Drosophila melanogaster: one gene and its partner. The protein of the gene in region 1 interacts with the protein of each later gene in a pairwise test. Each region holds a gene or a part of one and is shown on either strand. Other genes may lie near its edges.

Region 1 (7,680 bases):
CCTGTTGTTGGTTCTTCGGCGGCGCTGCTGATTTGTCATTCAGGCGAAACACTCGCGAGTCGTAAAGTAAGCTCCGTTTCAGTTCCAGTCTCCTGAAATCTGGCGAAGAAGACGTGAAATCATCTCGAGACGTCGTTGTTGCAGCAGTCATAAAATTATGATCGGTATTTTTTAGCCTTCCGTTCCCCTGGGAAATTTGAACTGTGTCGCTGGTTTTTGCCAGCATTTTTTAGTTATTTCGAGTCTAGTTTTTCGACATGGAACATGGATTTCTGCTGTATTTCATGCAACACCTTGTTCCCCGATTTCCAGGAACATATGTATGTATGATCTCGGGACATTCCTGAACTGCGTTTCCACGGAAACTTGCAAATAGACCGTAGTAATTAAAGGCACGAAAGCCGAAGAGCAATAAACACAAGCTTTTCGAGCCCAGTCATGTCTCCCATTCAGCCATAGCGAACCAATTCAAAACCATTTCTAACGCAGACGATAACCAGAGAGAGACGTGTCGTTTTTCACAAACAACGACGCGCCCGCTCATTTTCAATGAAAATTTCCACAATTTCCTCAATGGATCGTCGTCGACCCATCATGTGTGTGAAATACAATCGTGGATTTCTTGCCCAGAAACCCTGCAACTTCTTCGGTGCAATGGAGTGGGAGAGAAGTCGAGGCGCCTCGAACTCTTATGTGTGTTCAAGATGTCGTGGACTCAAATTAAGATAAGATGCAGATAAGCCGTGCATTTCGATTTAGCCGTTTGAAAACTCGTTAATAAGAATTTGGTCAATCCACTGATAACGACTAGTTTTCCATTGAACGGAGGCGCATAACGCTTATCTTTGTTAGGAATAAATATGACAAATTGAACGACTACCGTTTAATCGTTTGTCTATATACGAAAACTTAACAGGATTGTTCGAGCTATCAGTTTATTTGAATAGTTATTGTTAATGAAAACTACTACTAACTAGCCCAATATAATATATTATGAATATTTACTCTTCTTATTTTCAAATGATTTAAAATTTTCACCATTCCACAGCGATTAAAATCTAATTTACCCATGCATATATTTAATATTCATTCTGTAATTAATCAAGCCCTTGTTGAACCACTCGCATTGTCTTTTTCGCCTTTTCGTGTTGATTGTGGAACCTCCTTATCCCACAAAACACTTTTCATTCATTTTCATGCTCATTCACAAAACATGAGAAAAAAAAAAGAAAAACAAACATTGCAGTCGTGAGAGGAAAATTATTGAGCGAGAGTTACTGTTCGTGTTTTCTCATTTTCAGCTGAGAAAAGCAGCCGACCAATCACAAAACCATTTCCCCTTTACAAAAAACCGATCATTTTGCATCTCGTGGAGAGTATTCAGATTTGTTTGGAGAGTTTCGGAGAGGAACTCGTTAAGCCGGGTCTACAAAGGTGAGTATCTGTGGACCGTGGTGGAGTCAGGGGAAATGTTAGTGCTTTAAAAAGTGTCTACTATGTGTGGAATTTGGATTGTATCTTGTGGATTGGATATTGTGGTAAGGTTGAGTTTCATTTGGTATCTCGGGTAGAAGTCAATGAGGTGGATGTTCGGGCACACAGGCTGTAGAACTTGTTGGATATTTTGTCAAGAACTGAAAGTATCCGAAAGGATTAATTCATAGCATATATACCTCAGTTGTATTTTGAATTATTTTAAATTAGTTTTCTCAGAATTCATGGGCTTCACACTACACATCTTCCCCTCTTAAGATCTCAGGCTTAAATTCGTACTCCATTCTCATTGTGGATTTGAAATGATGACTGTGAAGACCAAACACGAAGGGCTACCCCTTAATTCCACATTCTTGTCCACCAAAGCAGACCTCTCCGCAACTCACCTCTTAGGAACTCTCCTAAATTCCGGTTTCAAGTTGTGGTCCAAGTTCCACATGGACACCAATGAGACACATTCCCCAGTCTCCACTCTCCAACCAAGTACATATCTCTCTCCAGCCGAACGAACCCGAGAGCGAAGACTCCGCCTATCGGATTCGGAAATGCCCGTTCGGGGGGTATAAAAGCGGGCGCTCTGAGCGAGCACCACTCATTCGTTGTCTGACCGCTCGCAGCAAAAGATATAGAAATCGAGAACGTAAACGCAGAAAACACGCTGGATTAAAGTGTTTCGTTTCGAACATCGACAGAGTGAGAAAACAAAGTGAAGTGAGCGCACAAAGCCGAAATCAAATCAAATTGAAAAGCCAGTCAAGAGCAATCTTTAACTGAACCTCGCAAGTAATCCGGTACGACCGTGTAACAACCGCCAAGATTCTACTCAAGGAGCGTAAAGCAATCATCTCCAGAATGAAGTCCCTGACGGCCGTCTGCCAGACAGGTGCCTCCGGAATGCCGGCCTTGAATGCCAGCGGGCGCATCCAGCGCCATCCCACGCACCGCGGCGACGGGGAGAACGCCGAGATGAAGATGTATCTGTCCAAACTGAAGGACCTCGTTCCGTTCATGCCCAAGAACAGGAAGCTCACCAAGCTGGAGATCATCCAGCACGTCATCGACTACATCTGCGACCTGCAGACCGAGCTGGAGACGCACCCCGAGATGGGCAACTTCGATGCGGCAGCCGCTCTGACGGCGGTGAACGGACTCCACGAGGACGAGGACAGCGACATGGAGGATGCGGATGCCGAGGCAGAAGCGGAAGTCGATCCAGATATCCTCGCCCAGCGCCTGAATGCCGAGCAGCCGGCGAAAGTCTCTAGTCCCGCCGCCCGTCTCCCGCTTACCGATCGCCAAACGCCCAACACTCTTGTGGCGCCCGCCCATCCGCAGCAGCATCAGCAGCAGCAGCAACTGCAACTGCAGCAGCAACAACTGCAATCACAGCAGCAACTGTCCAACAGTTTAGCAACGGTGAGTTAACAAACAAATTGCTAGGGTAGTGAAAAACCCAAATAGGAAGTGGGCAGATGAGCACAGCTCAGGTCGAAATATTAGGAGAAATAATAAGGTTATGGAATATTTAAAGTAGTTATTTTTGAGAAAATAACATAGTTAAACATTTAAAGTACATGACTTCACTGGTTTCAACTAGACAATAAAGCGATTAATTGCTAAAGTTACGATAAGGAAGTGCGAATATCGCAAAGTTTGCGATCCACCGATTTTCGCTATTTCCTTGAGTGCCATTATTTTGACCGCAGCTGTTTGGCATTTGCATTGCAAATTTAGGAGACAATTGAGTGTCAAACTGTTTGGCTTTACTTGTTTTTGTTTCGCGAGTGACCTCATTCATAAGGCGATTGACGAATGTTTGCGTGAATGTTGTTTTTTTTCATTTTGTTTTATTTTTTTTTAACGGAAGGACGAGGCGCGTTTCGTTTCGTTGGCGAGTTTTGGGAAATTTCTTTATTGGGCGGGTGGCTTTAGACAACGCGGCCTGCCCGATTTTGTCGTACCCTCTTCTTCGCCGCACAGATTCATTTCGTTTTTATAGACATTTCACAGACCGTCTCTGTGCGATTGTATGCGTTGCGGTTGTTGTCGCCATCGTTTCTTTCTTTTGTGTGTTGCCTATACGTAGCTGTTAATTTTTTCTCGCGGCCTTTTTCTGTTGTTGTGATGTTTTAAATGAACACCTGCAGATACTTAAATTTATTTCACACACACTCGCACACACACATACTCACTCACTCACACGCACTTGCGAGCTTGAAAACGGAATTTGGAATTGGGGAATCATCAGTCTTCGTATTTTATTTCATTTGGGTTTATTTTTTGGCTCACTTCATTAGCTCTCAGCTTCGTTACTTCTTCGTTTTTGGACTTTCGGTTATTAATGATGCTGGCGAAAAAATTCGTTTGAGATCTACAATATGTTCGTAAAAACAGGTTCGAAAAAGCTTTTTTTTCAATGGGTTTCTCAAACAAATGATCGACTGGGTGGCCCGGCAAGTGTTATTAATTTTCGATCTCTGATTGTTGATTAATTGTGAAGGTGGAAACCCTTCTTCGAAATTCAGAAAGATGGTTTTGAAATCGTGCCTTCGTCATTCCTGGCTATGAGTTACTTCTTAAATTTTTGATTAATTAACTGTGGGTCTTTAGCTCAGTCCGCTTTGCGTAGGTCTCTTTTCTCTCATTTTGGGTGCGTAATTTTTGTGTTTTTGTTGCAAAACATCTGCAACCCACAAACATATATACTTTTTGTGTTTGTATGATGTGTCACCGCCGCAACAACAACAACAAGCCAACAACAATCCGAGAATTCTTTCGAAAACACGCACACACACACACACAGAAGAACACATGGGGGCACTCAGAAAACTGTAAAAAGAAATGCACGTGTTCAAAATGTTCTCTCTGTGGGTTGTTTTCAGTTGTTTTTGCTGTTTCTTTTTCGATTTTTTTTTCGCGCAGCTGTGCGCCAGTCGCCAGTCGGTCGCTTTCTACATTGTGTTCCCCCCACGGATCCTGCCCCCCCCCCTCCACAACCGCCCCCTCGCAGTAAGAGAGCAGAAGACGGAGGAGAAGAGAGCGCAAGACACTGGGGGAAAAACTGCGTGATTTCAACGTTTTGCTGATTTTCAACTGGGTATACTTGTGCAAGCAAGCTACCTGAGATGTTATTTTAAAACATGTTGTATCTTCTAATGCACATGTTCTTAGTGCAAAACATTTTTCCCAGTGCCAAAGAACTCAAATAAGTGCAAAACAAAAGCTCAATGACAGCGCGTTTGATTTTCTTGGCGCCTCTTTATTGCCCCATCCCCTCCACTCATCGAAATCAGCCTCTCGGCGAGTGTCCCAAACACAAACAAAACAAACAAATCAGTGGAACAGGGAACTAATTGATAACATAGAATGGCGAAATAATACAGCTTATAAACTAATTATTGCATTTCAATCGCACATTAATAATGTACTAATTTGAATCTTCCCGCTTCTCTCTTTTTAGCCACAGAATGCGGAGAAAGACAGCAGACAGTCGTAAGCGTGGAAACGCCCAGCCGGGAAAACCCACGGAACCTATAAGCCTATTAACTAAATGCATAATGAAAGTACAGTCAAAACTCCACTCGCAACCTTCGTGTGAAGATCTCCGCATAAGATAACGTGTGAAACTCTCAAGAAAACCACAGCCCAGGCGCATCTCTTCAACGCTCCTTTTCCCGGGAAACGGAAAACCCGGGAAAACGAGACCTCGCTTTTGGCTCCAACAGAGTTTAGTTTAAACATTTAATAACAAGAATACAACAACACAAAACCTAGCATTAGAGCAGCGTAAGCAAGTACACATTATGATTATTAATTAAACATTACAACTAGGATGATGGCGCTTAAGAATGAACGGAAGAAAGAAAACTTGGCAAAGCTTTAAACAATTTAATTTTCCTTTAACGCTTGAAATTACACTGAAGCATATATTTTTGTTTTCCTAATTTTAGTTTTGTTTTGGTTTAAACAACGCAAGAAAAAATGTTACTAATGCAAAGCAAACAGAGATCAGCAATAAAAAAAAATTATAAAAATGCACAGGCACCAAACTGGAATTACGTTGAATCACCGTTTCCTGCATTACGATTATATGATTTCAATCCAAATGATTTTCCTATTAATTTTAATCAATGAAGAGTTTTCCTATTATTGATTAGCCACAGCCAATAAACAACAAGAACAACCAACTCAGCAGCACACACACATTCAAATTCATTAATTTATATCGAGAGAGTACGTTTAGAGTTTAAGTTCGAGAAAGTTCATTTCCAGGCACTAATTTTCACTCACACCACTCACATAGAAAAACACAAACACCTCATTTTGTAGTTTTCCGAGTCCCTTGGATCGTTTTCCTCTTTTTTAATCGAAATAACGCATAATGCATAATAATTATTACCAGATATACACTAAAACCTATAAATATATATTAATATATGTTCTGTGATCTGTAGCATACTTTGTACAAAGTGTTTTTTTTAGCATAATTATGCGATTTTAATTATGATCCGCAATCGAAATTACACATTTTTGTTCTCATTTCGATGGTAAAAACACTCTATCATGATGTAAAAAAAAAAAACAAAAGAAAACATTTGATGATGTTGCGAAAAAATATATTATCTAAAACATAAAGAAAAACAAACACTAGCTCTTAATAAATTGCAAAAATTTAAAAAACATTAAAAATCGAATATGTCAATGGATTTCCGTTGGGAGCAGGGGATTAAGAAACTACCAGATCTTACCGCAAAAGTCGGTAACTACCTGCAGACAACGACAACAAGTAGCCGGGGGAGGAAAACTCAGCTGGATGGCCATTTTCACATGTAAACAAGTGCAACGAATTACCAGAACAATGAGGTGGATGATATTATTCTCGGAGTTTCATGGGCGAGCGAGTTTTCTCACGCAGCCGCCGCCTTTGTCATTAGGGGTTTGGTTTTCCCATTTTCCATTTCCCAGGTAAAACGGCCGTAGGGTCCGTTGAAAACTCGACCTGCACACGTGTGCGAATTGCGGACGGAAAATTTCCGTTGAGAAAATTTCCTTCACTGTGGCCTGGCCGCTTTTCCTTTTATTTCACGTACGAACCACTTGGGTGTGGATTTAGTTTTGGATTTTCTGCGCTACCCGCAGCTGCCTGCCCACCCACTTCCACTCACACTCACACTCCCACGGCCCACCGCCCACTGTCTCCCTCTCTTTCCCGCTATCTGGCGGCCTATTAGCGTTAATGATTGCAACTACAATGCACTGACCAATTGGCAATTGCGACTGTAGTCTCGGGTTGGCTTCGAGATCGGGGCTTGGAGCTTGGAGCTCGGCACTCGGAGCACTCGGTGCCAGTCGCCCCATTCAAATGTCAATTCGGATCGGACCCCAGTGGACCGCTGGGGAAACACTTTGAACAGCTACGAAAAGCTTTTCCGCGGAGCCCATAAATCTGGGATGCTCTATGGAAGGCCCTAAAATGTATCATTAAATCTTTAGGTTAAGGCACTTTCTTGAAAAAACGACCTATTTACATCTTAGCAACCATATTAACTAGTTTAATCATGCGGTAAAAGTAGTCGATCGATTTCCTTGTGCTAAACTTAACCCAACACCTTTTTGAAAACATATTTTCTTTAAAGTTGTTGCATATTTTAAATAACACTGTTGACAGATCTGCACTAAAGTACAATTTATTACATTGCCTCCTGTTAATTGAGCAATTAATACAATAATCGTAAAAAATACCCATTCCATCGACAGAAAACCGCATTACTATCTTCTTGTTAGGGTATGCCCAGCCGTTTAAAGTTAAGTTGCAGGCATTTGGAAACTAATAGGAAAAGAAACAAAACACTCTGGGGTTCACATGCATTGTCTACGGGGGACATTCATTGTTCACTAAAAGATGTCGAGTGAAGCTTGAGAAAATAAATATTTTAAAAATCAGTATAACATTTCGTTGTATTCAACCCATGAAATATTGAAAATCTTTTACAAAGTAATAAAAGTGTTGTGCGATTATTTAGGATTTGAATCCTACTCCTATGAGTGAATACCCAATTTCTCCATGTGCATCGGTGCGTTTTAGTCGACATCGCCCGTTCTGCGGGGCCAATGATCTCCGATTCCGAGTCAAACTCTGGTATGCGCTAATTGTTTGCAGAGCTTTGGGCTCTGAGCCATTGGCCA
Region 2 (5,009 bases), on another chromosome or scaffold:
GGGAAAGCCCGCCCACCACTTCATCCGAAGGGGCATGTTCTTCTCGCACCGGGATCTTCATACGATTCTAACACTGCGCGAACAGGGCAAACCCTTCTATTTGTACACTGGTCGCGGTCCCAGTTCCGGATCCCTGCACGTGGGCCACCTGGTGCCCTTCATCATGACCAAGTGGCTGCAGGAGACCTTTGATGTGCCGCTGGTTATTCAATTGACCGACGACGAGAAGACCTTGTGGAAGGATCTGAAAGTGGAGGATGCCATCAAGCTTGGACGTGAAAACGCCAAGGATATTGTGGCCATTGGATTCGATGTCAACAAGACGTTCATTTTTAATAACCTGGAATTCGTGGGGTAAGTAAATTAAAAAACTTTTAACCTGTATAATCTGTATTATCTATATTACTTACAGAAAATGTCCTGCCATGTATCAGAACATCATTCGCATCCAGAAGTGCGTTACCTTCAATCAGGTCAAGGGCATCTTTGGCTTCGGGGACTCAGACATCATTGGCAAGATTGGTTTCCCAGCCGCTCAAGCAGCTCCCGCGATTTCCAGCACCTTCCCCTTCATCTTCGGCAACAGGAAGGTGCACTGCCTCATCCCGTGCGCCATCGATCAGGACCCATATTTCCGCATGACTCGCGATGTGGCTCCACGTCTTGGTTTTCCCAAATGCGCGCTCATCCATTCGACCTTCTTCCCGGCGCTGCAGGGTGCCAAGACGAAGATGTCGGCTAGCGACCAGAACTCGGCTGTTTATCTGACGGACACGCCCAAGCAGATTAAGAACAAGATCAACAAGTACGCCTTCTCCGGAGGACGCGTATCTGTGGAGGAGCACCGCAAGCTGGGCGGAGTTCCGGAAGTTGATGTCTCCTATCAGCTGTTGAAGTTCTTCCTGGAGGACGATGCCAAGTTGGAGGAGGTGAGAGTGGCTTACAGCAAAGGCGAAATGCTTACGGGCGAGATCAAGAAGCTGGCAGTTGAGGTAAGTGCAATGATGATGCTACAATCTTCCCAAAAAACATTGTAATTAATGTGCTCAAATGATCTTCTTAGACGCTCACACCCATTGTGGAACAGCATCAGGCCGCCCGCAAGCTGATTACGGACGAAGTGCTGGACAAGTACTTCGAACTACGACCCCTGAAGTTCGGAAGTTAGAACGGTAGCCGAATTGAGGTACCTGCATTTGCTTGACATCGATTCTTACTACCAGTTTATATGAAATTAGCTTAAATCGAACTAAGCGATATTAGTTTAGCACCGAACCGACTAAGGCACTTCTATGTAAATAGCTATACAGAATTGATCTATGCCTTGGCTCTGAGTCCGTGTGGCGCCCACTTAATGCATCGTTGTACTCGCTATTTATTTTATTTTTTACACAGCGTGTTTATTTTTATAAAGCAGAAAACAATAAACTTCGGCTTCGATTTGCAATTGCCACCACAGTGACCCACATTTGGGAAGTTGTTAGCAAGTCTATACATTTTCCTGGAAACCCGAAACGTTCAGCCAAGGAGAGAAACAAGTCAACTCTCTAGGTTTCCCTAGAAACTACACTCTGCTCATATTCATTTCCGATTCCGGGCAAAGGTGCCTCTCTGGTTAGCCAGCTAGCAAAATAACTCTCGACTTCGGAAAAATGTAAGTAATTTTCTCACTTCTAGTTGTGTGTTGTTTTTTTTTTCTGGTAACCCGAGATCTTGCACATGAATTGAATTTCGCGGGCTATCAGTAGATATTCTTCTAGTTTTTTCCTTGCGGTTTATAGTTTCAGGAATTCTGAATTTTCGGAAGAAAAAAATAATTTGCTAGTTAATTACTATTAATTAAAGAAGATATGTAGTAATAATGGAAACTGTGCTCAATATCTCAGTCTTTTAAGCAAGTATCTATTTCAATTAAGAAAAATCATAAAAATAGGTATAGAATATGTAATATAATTTTTAATAGGATTATAAGAGCACTTAGCTGGCGATCACGGTTTTTCATTGACTAGAGAGAAACCAAATTAGTTTGAAATTAGAATTGGGCGAAGTTTGGAGCTAGATTGGCCAAGCTTAGGTTTCTTACCTTCATATAGACGAACCTATATTCATAACTAGCTATATGCATATGTGTGTATTTTTTAATTAAGTCAAAACACTTGTGTTTACATGCGTCGAAAATACACTCTTTCATATGGGCTGAGTTCCAGTGTGGGTGTTTGTACATAGCGACGATCAAAAAGAAAAACTCAAACTGAAGTTGTGGCGACGATCGTCGATCGCTGATCCCAGAGAGGGATCCGACATAAGTCGGACGCAACTCCAGCCTGCCACACGCGCCTCGATCACCATTCGCAGCCGTCGGAGTCGGATCGATCGGACAATAGCGAGGAAATTAAGCCGCTTTGTTTGCACAGCGATTGGATGGGACAAAAGGACCCTCGACGACAAGTTGGTCCCCTATAGATCACCTGTTGACACACGTACAAAGCGGTGGCCTCTTAAACTAGACGAGATGTGGCCCTCATCAACCCCGGATGAGTAGTCACGTCTCGAATCGATGGATCGATGGTGAGCCATTCATCACGATCGCCAGAGTCGTCTCTAATGCAACTAAAAGTAAGCAAAACAAAAAGGTACAAGCTAAAAAAAAAAAAACCAACCGAGTCCAGGTAAACCTGCTGCAGTCCGGCCAGAACTCTTGATCGGTCATTCGAAAAGCGGCTTAAGCGATGACGGATCAACTGCTGAGCTCCACGGCCGGCGTACCGGGTGATCCACCGCCAGTTTTGGTGCCCGTATCAGCCACCACCGGTGGACCCTATTTGAGCGGTGGATCCGAGGGCGAGGCGGAATCATCGGAACAGCCCGTTCTTCTAGAGCTCGGTGCCCCTCAATCGTCCAGTTGTCCGGCAGTTAGTCTCAACTACACCCTAACCGCGGATGGAGCAGGCTTGCTGGCATATGCGCCAACTCATCCGCATAGCTACTCACCCAGCGTGATGGGTGGCTACGAGAAGGAAGCGCACAATATGGGTCTGTTGCCACCCACATATAGCGTTATACCTCAGCCGGTGTCGATGTGGCATGCTGGCCAGGTGGCCACCGGTTCGCCAGTGGGCTTGGAATGCAACAAACCCAGTGAGCTGGTACCTCCGCCCATGTATATGAGCTATAGCGGCGGTAGTATAGCCAATAGCACTGAGGTGGACATCGCCAAAGAGCACAATCCCGCCTGGCGGGAGAAGGCGCTGCAAATGGAGAAGGACTATAGACGCACCGCCTGCGATCGGGAAAGAACCAGGATGCGGGACATGAACCGAGCCTTTGACTTACTGCGCTCCAAGCTACCCATATCCAAGCCAAATGGGAAAAAGTACTCCAAAATCGAGAGTTTGAGGTAAGTGAAAGTATCTGCGGTAGAGCTCTGTAATATATTTATATGATCTTTGCCTACCCAGGATTGCCATCAACTACATTAATCACCTGCAGGCCATGCTGCGGGAGAGCTCCGTGGGTCAAAATGGCAATGGATGCTGTGCCTGGAGCGGCGGAAGTAGTTCACCTTATGATAATGGCAACGATCATTGGGGAGCGTAACTTGAATTAACGAATATCAAAGGGAATTCATTTAAATATTCAATTTAAAACTTGTGTTATATTATATCCGCAATTTGCCAAAGTCATTCCATGAACCTATAAAAGTTAAGGTCCATACTTTACGATTTTGAGAAGAAAAAAATTGAAATAGCTTTCATTTTATATTAGTTTATCATGTTAACCTTTTTATAAGTGCAATAATTAAATAAATTATCAAGAATACCACGTATGATTTCAATTATCATTTGCCCCAAAAACTAGATAACAAAACCAGGCGCAACTTTGTCTTTTTAGGCTATATATATTTAACTTTACTTTTCAACACTTCACATTTTGATAATTTACATATGATGAATCGTTTGAAGAACTGACTGACTTGGCGAGTATGTTGTGCATATTCGTATATATATATAAACCTAAAAAGTACAACAAAACAGGAAAATGTAACAAATTTCTATGGAATTGTTGCGACGCCCGCAACTGCATTGAAAACTGAAAAGTTTTTTAATACTTATTTATAGATAATAAAACCAACTACTGCGACAGCTGTCCGCACACACACAAACACACAATTTATCCGCTGTTGGATTGAAGTAGAAGTTGGCAAATTTCAACTTAAAAGGGGGACGAAATAACAAAGCGTAACGCAAGCTCCTCTCGCTCCTCCTGCTCCTCTCGCTTCTCAACTCCTCCTGCTCCTCCTTAGTTGTCCTTCTTGATGCGGGTAGAGGTCATGCGGTAAATGATGGAGTCCCTGCCGGGATCCATGGCAGCGATGGCGTAGCAGATAGCCAGCAGAGACAGTCCGAAGACGACCATGAACCACAGGATGATGTTGAAGATCACCGGGTAGTCGCTGCCGTAGTAGACGGCCAGGTTGTAGGGATTGGTGGTGGAAGCGGCAATGGTATCACGCTTGGCACGCGATGCTGCCACGTCCTTCTCCGTGGTCTGGACAAACAGAACCGAGTCGCTGGACTTCTGGGAGGCAGCAAGCAGGCGGCTGATAGCGGCCGACAGCAATTTGTTGGCCTCCTCCACGGCCACGGACTTCTCGCCATGAGCCTTGGCCACTCCATCGACGGAAACGCGCAGCATCAGGACATTCGAGGGCTTGGCCATCTCAGCCAGATGATCGGCGGCACTGTTGATGAATCCAACCTCCTGGAGGAACTGCTTGTCAGCGGTGTGCAGAGAGGGGTTCAGGTGCTTGGTGGGCTTGGCGGCTGGGGCCTCGAAATCACCAAAGCAGGACTTCCAGGCTTGAACCTATAAAAAATATGTGGTTAAATATACATTGGTCTCTACGTTATATGCGTAAGGGGGAAGGCACTATGATTCACTCTATAAATCATGTGATTAATTAATTTTTAAGGTTTAATAACTATCTATCATATTTGTGGGAAGTTATA

What was found.
Region 2: the proteins of emc (region 1) and sage interact in a two-hybrid assay, tested with the Drosophila melanogaster proteins (one study listed by BioGRID).

Annotation. Positions count from the first base shown.
Region 1 is NT_037436.4:747,318-754,997, forward strand, and holds emc (extra macrochaetae), read left to right. Parts: upstream 1-2,082; 5' UTR 2,083-2,346; coding exon 2,347-2,910; intron 2,911-4,954; coding exon 4,955-4,990; 3' UTR 4,991-6,175; downstream 6,176-7,680. UniProt on the Drosophila melanogaster protein: Participates in sensory organ patterning by antagonizing the neurogenic activity of the Achaete-scute complex (AS-C). It lacks a basic DNA-binding domain but is able to form heterodimers with other HLH proteins, thereby inhibiting DNA binding.
Region 2 is NT_033777.3:9,261,463-9,266,471, reverse strand, and holds sage (salivary gland-expressed bHLH), read left to right. Parts: upstream 1-2,329; 5' UTR 2,330-2,729; coding exon 2,730-3,397; intron 3,398-3,458; coding exon 3,459-3,597; 3' UTR 3,598-3,818; downstream 3,819-5,009. Other genes in the region: TrpRS (Tryptophanyl-tRNA synthetase), read left to right, coding at 1-354, 413-992, 1,064-1,168; ATP6AP2 (ATPase H+ transporting accessory protein 2), read right to left, coding at 4,300-4,866.